Linked DNA regions of Neodiprion lecontei. The protein of the gene in region 2 purifies or fractionates together with the protein of the main gene of each other region. This does not show direct contact. Links are inferred from orthologs where the notes say so. Each region holds a gene or a part of one and is shown on either strand. Other genes may lie near its edges.

The links.
Region 1: the proteins of protein l(2)37Cc (region 2) and stomatin-like protein 2, mitochondrial purify together in Homo sapiens (affinity purification with western blotting; 3 studies listed by BioGRID, with this or other methods). This does not show direct contact. The link is inferred for Neodiprion lecontei from reciprocal best matches to the Homo sapiens genes PHB1 and STOML2.

What each region holds. Positions count from the first base shown.
Region 1 is NC_060266.1:26,734,932-26,739,624, reverse strand, and holds stomatin-like protein 2, mitochondrial, read left to right. Parts: upstream 1-1,836; 5' UTR 1,837-2,036; coding exon 2,037-2,084; intron 2,085-2,242; coding exon 2,243-2,341; intron 2,342-2,468; coding exon 2,469-2,616; intron 2,617-2,839; coding exon 2,840-3,088; intron 3,089-3,199; coding exon 3,200-3,355; intron 3,356-3,559; coding exon 3,560-3,804; intron 3,805-3,947; coding exon 3,948-4,130; 3' UTR 4,131-4,178; downstream 4,179-4,693. UniProt on the Homo sapiens protein: Mitochondrial protein that probably regulates the biogenesis and the activity of mitochondria.
Region 2 is NC_060261.1:13,957,698-13,963,169, reverse strand, and holds protein l(2)37Cc, read left to right. Parts: upstream 1-1,641; 5' UTR 1,642-1,795; intron 1,796-1,856; exon of another isoform or gene 1,857-1,997; intron 1,998-2,223; 5' UTR 2,224-2,238; coding exon 2,239-2,326; intron 2,327-2,828; coding exon 2,829-3,250; intron 3,251-3,327; coding exon 3,328-3,636; 3' UTR 3,637-4,939; downstream 4,940-5,472.

The sequences.
Region 1 (4,693 bases), on a different chromosome or scaffold from region 2:
ATTGAGGAGGATTGCTGAAGAAAGTCAGCCAGGGGTATCTTTTGAAGCAAGCGACAGAGTGCCGAGAGCGTGAAGGTAATAGCAGGACCCTGCATTAACTGATTCGCCAACGGTAGGTTTCTGTACAGGAAGCACCTCGCATCGTGCCTCGCTTAGTCGTGCCGACCTTCCCAGCTCGGTAACGTCCCATTTGTAATGACGCTGTCTTGAGCGATCTTCAGTCAACGCGGGGATTGTCTGACACAAAAACGTGTTCACTTGATTGAAAAAATCGTGAAAATTACAGGCATAGTCCACCTGCGAAAAAATTACCCCCGTAAGCATGCGTATATATTATGCATGTATACTTGACAGAAGTGTATCACGATGTATGATTCATTCCTTGTTATTTTTTTCCCTCTTTACGAAGAGCCAACTGCAGGGGAAACCGTGACGAAGTCTACGATCGAGGCAACTTGCGCAAATAGCATGCATCCAAGTTGAATGGAAAATATACGGGAACTGTAATCCCGCCAACAAATGCTATGGTGGTTCTTTCTTGCAGGAGACAGGTATTCGGACAAGGCGTAAACGATAGAGTACATTTCGGTGAGTACAATTTGAAACTTATATACTTTTGGAATTATCAATATCTTCTCCCGAAATCGATAAACTCATTCATTTTCATTCCATGATTTCGTTGAATCGAATGATCGGTACTGCACCGGAGACTTACGATGTCACCCCTGTTGAACGACCGTTTGAAGTGTGCCTACCATTTCAATCTCTGTTGGCATGATATGCGGTCGATTGACTTGATTTTTATTTGCCGAACACTGCATCACACCACACTGCAATCACCAGATTGTGAATTGGCAACGTGTGATATAGTGTTTCATTGTGACGGTTCGAACGCCGAAGTAAGCGAGTTTCATGCAGAACGTATTGTATGATGGACGGGCGTTTTACGCTGCTGATGACGTACGGATCACCAGGCAATTCTTTGTATAATTGACACCCGCACTGCAACTCTCATCTTTTTTAACGGTGTCATGCTGCATACCATCTTGTCTTACTCACCTTGACGGGAGAATGCGATTAATCCATTGTTTGCGAATCCTGGCTGCTCGTCGCTGTCACCGGAGCCACGTTGCCTACATACCATTGTATTACTCCCCCAGAGAAGGAGATCTGTCACCTTCCCCTACGGCTGTAAGACGTCGGAACGCAGTTTAAAAATGTACGCAATTCCTTACATCATTGATACAATATCGGACAACAATTTTACATGCGTACAACTTGAAGAAAACATCTCTTATTGTCAGATGAATCTGAGACTGGCAAGTCAACAGCCCAGTCAAGTATTACTCGTCGATTCGTCTGGTCCGGATAATTCCATTATTATTTTGTGTTGTCGCTCTTCATATTCCGTACTCCTTATTTTTTTGTTCTCTACTAATTCCTTTTGGATTCTTGGGTTGTAATTGTTATTTGCGTATTTTTACTGCTACGGCGATCCCATCGTATGCGAATACACCGTACAACATTGTGATAACCAAGCCTGTATGATAAAAAAAATTATTGAAGGTGCAACAATTGAGCAAGCTCACCAGGAGTTGGAATATTAGCACTCTTGTTGTTGTGCATAATTTCCATTTCGCTTATATCGCCTAGATATAACGCTAATACTGCTCTCATGTCATACCACTGTGTTAATGAAGATCGCATCTTGTATGCTCTAGCTATCGTGTTAAGTAGAGGTCGGACTCTGGTCTCCATGTGGAAACGGAACGCGGTATACAGTTAGTCGACTGCAGTCGACTGCGTGATGTGTGGCAGTTCTGCAAGTACATTTCGGAACACAGCCATGGTTCGAGTTGATGACAAACGTCAGTTTAGCCAACATCTAGGTTGCCCCATACATAACCTACACGGGTGTCGAGACCGAATGTAATGGTTGGGTTATCCCATTCTTATTTGAGTTTTGCAAACCAAAAACTAAGATCCCGATTGTGTGATTAATAAATCAGACGCGACATCAAAAAAAAAAAAAAATTATGCTTTCAACAACGAATTCACTCTTTCGGGGTATTAGCATAGCCAGAGTATGTAAACCCAATATAATTCTGACAATACTTTTATCGAAATTTAAATTCGTAGTCTGCATAAAAAAAAAAAAAAATAAATAAATCAAACTGATTGCGTTGGTGAATGTCTCAGAGAATTCTATTAACTTGGTTTAAATAATGTTTTTTTTTTGCAGGACACTGTGCGTATCCTTTCGATCAAACCGAAGATCCCGCATCGGTACAGTTCCTCGACTCCGATGAACACGATCGTCATGTTCGTCCCTCAACAAGAGGTTAGAACAATTGTTTCCGTCATCTTGCGCAATATGCGCATCGTATAGCAGTTATTGATAGAGGCATACAAGTAATGTCAGCAAATAAATATGTTCAGTTTTAATTGTATAGTATCATTTTCATTAGGCATGGATCGTAGAGAGGATGGGGAAATTTCACAGAATCTTGGAGCCAGGAGTTAATCTTCTGATTCCTGTAATAGACCGAGTGAAGTACGTGCAGAGTCTAAAAGAAATTGCAATCGATGTTCCCAAACAAAGCGCAATCACGCTAGGTAGTACTGATACGTTACTTTCAGCAGTTCCATAAAACAACAATCACACAGCTCGGTGATTTACCGCAACCTAGCAAACTGAAACAAGCCAGGAAATTCTGATCCACATGTAGAGTTGTTCGAACCTCGCCTCAACTGTAGCACCATACCTATCTGCTTATCATTTTAATGATTCTATCGCCAACTATTACTCAGTATTATCAAGTCATGAATAACTTTTCAGATAATGTCAACTTGAACATTGACGGCGTCTTGTATTTGAGAGTGAACGACCCGTATCTGGCATCTTACGGAGTTGAGGATCCTGAGTTTGCAATCGTTCAGCTGGGGCAAACAACAATGAGATCGGAACTAGGCAAAATATCGCTAGATAAAGTGTTCAGAGAAAGAGAGGGACTCAACGTTTCCATTGTAGAAAGTATAAACAAGGCCAGCGAAGCCTGGGGAATAACTTGCCTTCGTTATGAAATTCGTGAGTAAAGTTGTTTCTACCCGTCAGTCGCAGTAGCACCGACAGGTCGCATTTGAGGTCAACTTTTTTACCAACTATCTCAAATGCGACACACAATTAATTCTCTTTCAGGCGACATTAAACTACCAGTGAGAGTACAAGAAGCCATGCAAATGCAGGTAGAAGCAGAGAGAAAGAAAAGGGCTGCTATATTGGAATCTGAGGGTACGAGAGAAGCTGACATAAATGTTGCAGAGGGAAAACGTCAGGCCAGAATCCTCGCGTCTGGTAATTTTGAGTACCATGTTTTTTTTTTTTTTTCTCAAAAATTATTCCAACTGCTGCATACAAGTGTTGAGACATCCAATGATTTTTCATTCATTTACATCTTCATCTTTACCGAGTGAAGCAATACTTGTAGCTATTCAGGTTAATCTGGCTGTTGTAATAATCATTTCGTTCATGTTTCAAATACAAAATCCAAATGACCAGAGGCTGAGAAACAGGAACAAATCAACAAGGCGAACGGCGAAGCAGCGGCTATGTTAGCTGTCGCGGAGGCGAGAGCCAAAGGTTTACAGGTTGTTGCCGGATCTTTGGGTTTGGAAAATGGCAGAAATGCCGCATCGTTCAGCATCGCCGAGCAATACGTTCGTGCATTCAACAAACTAGCCAAAACTAACAACACTATGATCTTACCGAGCAACCCTGCCGATGTTCCCAACATTGTTGGACAGGTATGTACACTAAATTACGTTCGATCATCCAAGTTATTATTCAAGTGTTACGATGATTGCACTCGTCAAAGTTGACGATACATACTCTATTTTGACACATTTCAACTAGCATGAAATTAACCTACTCTTCTGGTACTATACAGGCGATGGCGATATACCAGCATATCGCACCCCGTCCACAAACACCGGACGATCCAGCACCGCAATTTAAGTCGAAAATCCCGCTCACCGTTGATACCCCGGATAACGCTTATGAATATTTTAGCGATAAAGAGGAGCTGGAGAAGCATAGAAATTCTACCAGTAAGAATTCGCAAATATTGTAAAAGTTTTCATTACAAAGTAAATAAATAAAAATTGAAAATGTAAAAATATCGAATAGTAGATCAAAAGCGATTGATTGGAAACCCTGAGAAAATTTTACAGACATAATAAGGGCAAACTGGATTAACATGAATAAGCTTGCACACTTCATTTCAAAAAGTGTGCATTTTAAGCGAACACGCTTGAACTTGTTTCAGAGACACTCTGTAGAAAAAATGTCAAAACTGGTGTGCAATCTTGTAGGAAGAATATTGAAAGTAATTCATCAATTTTCATCAATACTTTCAAGCCTAATTTCCGATCTTGAGATTAAAAGAGGCTCCTCGTTCATTTAAATGGATCGCTGAGCTTAATAATATTGGAGAAGTTGCATAGATCGCAAGATCCCAACTCCAATCAGGTGGATGAGAAATGAATTGAATGGCATTGCCTAGTGATGCTTCCGAGTAAAAATTCACTGGACGTGTAGGATGGTATTCAGTTACCTGTGACAAATCAGCCATCAAATTATGCGATATGCACGACCAGGCCACAGTTGGTTACAAAGAACCTGTATTATAAGGCT
Region 2 (5,472 bases):
ATCGGCTAATTTTTGGTTTCATCACTTCGAAATACTTAAGAAATTGTCATATTGTAATGGAACAGTGTAATTAAATTTGATTTCAAAAGATTGGAAATCTCCTTTTTCAATCACCAAGATTCAATGCAAAAAAAAGAAGAAAAAAAAACCGTAAATTTTGGAGTAAATCATTTTTCTTTCATTTCGTCAATTTTGTTTTCATATAGGCTATCACCAAAGATACTGAAAAACACAACTACATTGGATTTGAATACATTTTTTTCCCACCCCAACCGCCTCCGTGGCGCAATCGGCTAGCGCGTTCGGCTGTTAACCGAAAGGTTGGTGGTTCGAGCCCACCCGGGGGCGCGTTTACTTTTGGAGTATTTTTCAGTGCGTAGTGACCCTGGTTCACATGAATTTTTACTGAAATTTTGGCGATAAAATACAGAAGGTATTCGGGTAGAGACGTAAGTACTGTAATAAACAGCCCAGAAAAGAAAATCAGTTTTAGTCATGATGTTACGAGGTAGACGTATAATTTGCAATTACTTTTCATAAAAACTCATTTGGGCATTTAGAAGCGCTGGAGATTAAGAGCGGCTGTGCTTACTAAAAGTTAGTAATGAATTGTCGTTTTATGGAGGTATCTCAACATCTACAGGTAAAGGCTGGAGTTATTCGCGCGAAAACCGTTATCCGTTTAAAGGTTTGTACAGCTCCGCAAATTTAAATACTCAATATAACTTTTTCTTGTTAGCCACACCACGTGTTAAATGAATTATCTGTCAATTCTGATTTATCTGAAAATTTTATTGTGGAGTGAACTTATAACAATTTTCACATGAAACAAATCAATGGAACAATTGTTATTAGACTGTTGGAAAGATTTCTCATTGTTAACAAATCCTGGTGATAAATTGGGTGAACTCAATTACTAGGTTGTGATTCTTCTTGAAAAACAAAAAAATAATTATAGTCTGGAAACCATCTTATGTAACTTCCAGACAGTTTCAAAAAATATCATTCGAAAATGGTTCAAGAATATTTGTTTTTTGTAATTTGAGGTGCAAAGAATTAATTTTCGAACGTGGTTGGCTGCCTCCGCAGTTGCTAAGATAGGGATCTGGCTTCGAGCGCTACCGGCTTTCGTCTACACCTATCACGAGTTTTCATTGAATTCGACAATACGAAATTGCATAAACAAGCGCACATACTTAGTAGTATGCTCTATCCAACAGAACATGTAAGTGCTGGTGCAAGTAACGCTCCTTATTACCCTGCACGATGTCTTCTATGCTTTCTACACCTGTGTAAGGTTTGCTTCCCTGGTGCATATCGAGCAATTTTAATAATTTTAATGCAACGAGTCGCGCATTGCCTGACCCCAGGCGTGAAAAAATCACGCCGTACTATAGGCACATACTCTCTACGAAACGAATGGCATGCTGCCTACGCGCAGGCGTATGAATATGCACGATTGCGAGCAACCACACGCATGCGTGAAAATCAGTCCACGATCTGAGCGGAATATCGGGCCGGCAAGTGAAATACACGCGATGTCTACCCCCACTTCGCGAGCATTTTGAGACAGGAGAATTGACCAATCACGAAGTCAATTGAGTGGAAGGAGCCAATAGAGGAGTGAGAGGTTATGCAGTATCAGGGTATCGCTTTGCGGCCTGCAGCCTACGCCTGTGCCGGCTCGTCGTTCTTTCAGCAGGCTGTATTGCCGGAATCCATTTTCCTTTATCGACCAGCATCGCGGCACGAGGAGAAAAACTGATAAAAAGACTCGGAAAACGCCGTCAATTACGTAAGTAATTCATTATTATGCAGGCAACTTTTAATCATTGTTTTTCACAATATTCTTATTGTTGCATTACGTAAAATGGACACACGAGTATTCTTGAGAATTGTCCGGTTAAAAAGAGCCCGGTCGGCTTAATTGCGACGAGTTATCTTCCCAATGTTTACACATATTTTGTAATATTTTTGGTGATTCTCAGTGTCCCAAGGTATTGTGTTTCACTTCATTTTCTTACAGGCGTATAGAATTAAGACTGAGAAAATCCCTTGTACCAAACTTGAGCTGTGAGATGTAACTTTTTTTAGGTTAGACTTGGTACACATAAATTAAAGCTACTGTTACATCAGATTTTACTCTCACAAATGATAAATCAATAATTTCTTATAACGTTCAGTCCAAAAGTATAAAAATTAATAAAGTTTTTTTATATCCAGGTCCGCTACGAAAATATGGCAGCAAATTTATTCAACAGGATCGGCCAGGTGGGCCTTGGAGTGGCTCTTGTTGGTGGTGTAGTCAATTCTGCCCTTTATAATGGTTTGTTGCATTTTGTTATTTGTCCACAATACTCTATTTGCTGAGTTGTCAAATGCACCAAGTAAAATACCTATGATTATATTTTCAATAAACTTGACACGATGAAATACGACTCTGACAGGCGTAGTTCTAATATTATTATGCTATAGCTGGAATTTATAATGTAATTTTAAGGTTTATTGAAATAATAGATGAACGATGTTTGAAGTTCAACTTAAATTTTATTCTGGCTTATGCCTCTGAGTCTCTCACTGTAAAATGTGTTAGCATTTTCAAATCATGTACAGATAAACTCCAGATAACAACCTCGTAAATCCAAATCGGTTGAGATGATAATTGTGTTCTAAAATACTGTTAACGAAATATTATTTGATGCTTTGATTTAATCACCACTCCATCCAATGTAAAAGTTTCCTCATTTCGTGATTAATTCAGGGATAACCTTGTTGAAGAAAATAATTGCAAGGAAAAAAGTGTTACAATGATTTAATGTGTGTTTCAGTTGACGGAGGGTACAGAGCGGTAATATTCGATAGATTTGCCGGGGTAAAGAATACAGTAGTGGGTGAAGGGACGCATTTTTTCATTCCCTGGGTTCAGAGACCTATCATGTTTGACATTAGATCACGCCCAAGAAACGTCCCAGTCATTACCGGAAGTAAGGACTTGCAAAATGTGAATATCACGTTGCGTATATTGTTCAGGCCGATACCAGAATCTCTGCCGAAAATTTATACTGTTCTTGGAGTTGATTATGAAGAACGAGTACTGCCATCAATTACTACCGAAGTGTTGAAGGCTGTGGTAGCGCAATTTGACGCTGGGGAATTAATCACTCAACGTGAAATGGTATCTCAGAAAGTTAACGAAGATTTGACGGAACGTGCTGCTCAGTTCGGAGTAATTCTGGACGATATTTCAATTGTAAGTACCGCCCTGCGTGGCGTATATCACCCGATTTCGCCAATGTCGAACTTTGATTTGAATGATTTTATTTTCAGACACACTTGACATTCGGCAAAGAGTTCACGCAAGCTGTTGAGTTGAAGCAGGTCGCTCAGCAGGACGCGGAGAAGGCGCGTTTCCTCGTAGAAAAAGCCGAACAACAGAAGAAGGCAGCCGTCATAAGCGCGGAAGGTGACGCACAGGCCGCACTTCTGCTTGCCAAAGCGTTCGGCGAAGCTGGCGACGGTCTGGTTGAGCTTAGGAGAATCGAAGCCGCCGAAGACATTGCGTACCAGCTGTCACGTTCTCGCCAAGTCTCATATCTTCCCGTTGGTCAAAATGTCCTCCTCAACCTCCCCCAGTAATGCAATAAATAAAACTGTACATAGACTTGAGAAAATCGTCTCTTATAACACATTCTCGCGACAAACTGACATCATTACAATAGAGAATATCACACGTACATAAATCATTTATCGTACAAAAACTAACCATTGCAAATACAAGGGATAACAACTACGGCTTCAATTGCATTGAGTAGAGATAATACATTGTTCAGTGCTATTCCTTCGTTCATCGGTCCGGGTATCGCGCAGCTACTGTACATTGAGTATAACCGATAAATATTGCTATAAGTGTTCCTATATTAACTGTGTTTTTCATACGCGAGGTAGAGATTCCAGCCTGGCTATTTAGCAATTTCGTATATTATTTCGCTGATTTCACGTAATGGGAAGAGCATTTTCCTTGGATCTTGGCAAGCCTTTGATTAAATTGAGATGTTCTGCTGCAATCAAATTTCGCTCACCACGGTGTAAACCGATTCTCTTCCATTCGCACACAGAATCACTGTAAAAGTACGTAATCGGAAGAATCTTAAAATTGTTTTGATGGATCACCAAAGAGAGGTAATAACGAAGAAATTTTAACAAGCAATTTTTGTTTAAAATCACTTATCAAACCCGTGGCGAGAAAAGAGATTTCACTGTTTCAATAATCTGAGGCAACCTGAGATGTATTTCAGGCTGACTACCCTACGTGAGTTACGGATACAATATATAACAGATTGATGGAAATAGCCTACCTGCATCCTCTCGCCGAGAAAACATTCACAAGCACGGAAACCCCCGAAAAGTATTTCGAATGGTCAAATTGTTTTTTTTTTCTACTAACGTATTGAGTTTATTTAGAACTGCAGATGCAATTTATGCGTTGTACATGTGATATTATTCATTGTTACAAGGGACACACCTATTTGCATTTAAACAAAAAAGTTCAGAGTTACAATTGATTGTAATGATTCTAGCCGAATGTTTAATTGAAAATAACACGAAATTGTGCTGTAATCAATTCTAGGGACTATCGAGTGTACGAAAACCAAAAAATGTGCATCTCAAATTGAAATGTAAATTCTGATGACGCATGTCATACAACAAAATGCTTCGAATTTCGACGTGATTTCAGTTTTGTTTACTTGTTATATTCTCCTCCCTGCTCGTACCCACAAAAATCAAACAAATACAAAGTCTAGACTTCAGGAGGTCACGTGTTACCGTAGCTTAGTCATGTTAATAAAAAAAAAGTGGCATATTTTATTTTTATTTGCCATGTTACAGCTCTATGTAATAGAAATATTTTACCAATTTAATAGTTTTGTAGAAACACGAATTTGAATATTTTTTTCACCTTTCCTTTCATTGCGTGTGACTTTTTTTAATTCATAGACTAAAGAAAATTCAAAGGTAAATCGTTCAAGCATGGAAAATAGAAATTAATTAGTGAAATCTATAATGTCATCTCTATTTTTCCCTACGCATTCTTAAAAGTGAAACGAAACTGTCGTTTGTCGGTTTGACTGTTAGAACGTGATAAAGTCAAAAGCTATTCGACCGTTTATCTGATTCTTGCGTCGGAGAACTGAGCAGTGAACAAGACTGACAATTTCGTCGGCGGTGTCTCTCGCCTCACTGCCCGCAAAATGACTTCTTGAATTTAACGCATCGAACGAAATTCAGCAGAGTCTAAAGTGTAGAGCAAAACTTTTATGTACATACTAATATATAGGTAAGTATTATCGGGCATGAATGCAAGGATATCCGTACTGTAACCGTACGAAACAACTTGGATGGTAAATTATGTACGAATGGATCATGCCAATTAATTGAATTTCAAGACCGGAAAACGATGTAGATAGGTATTCG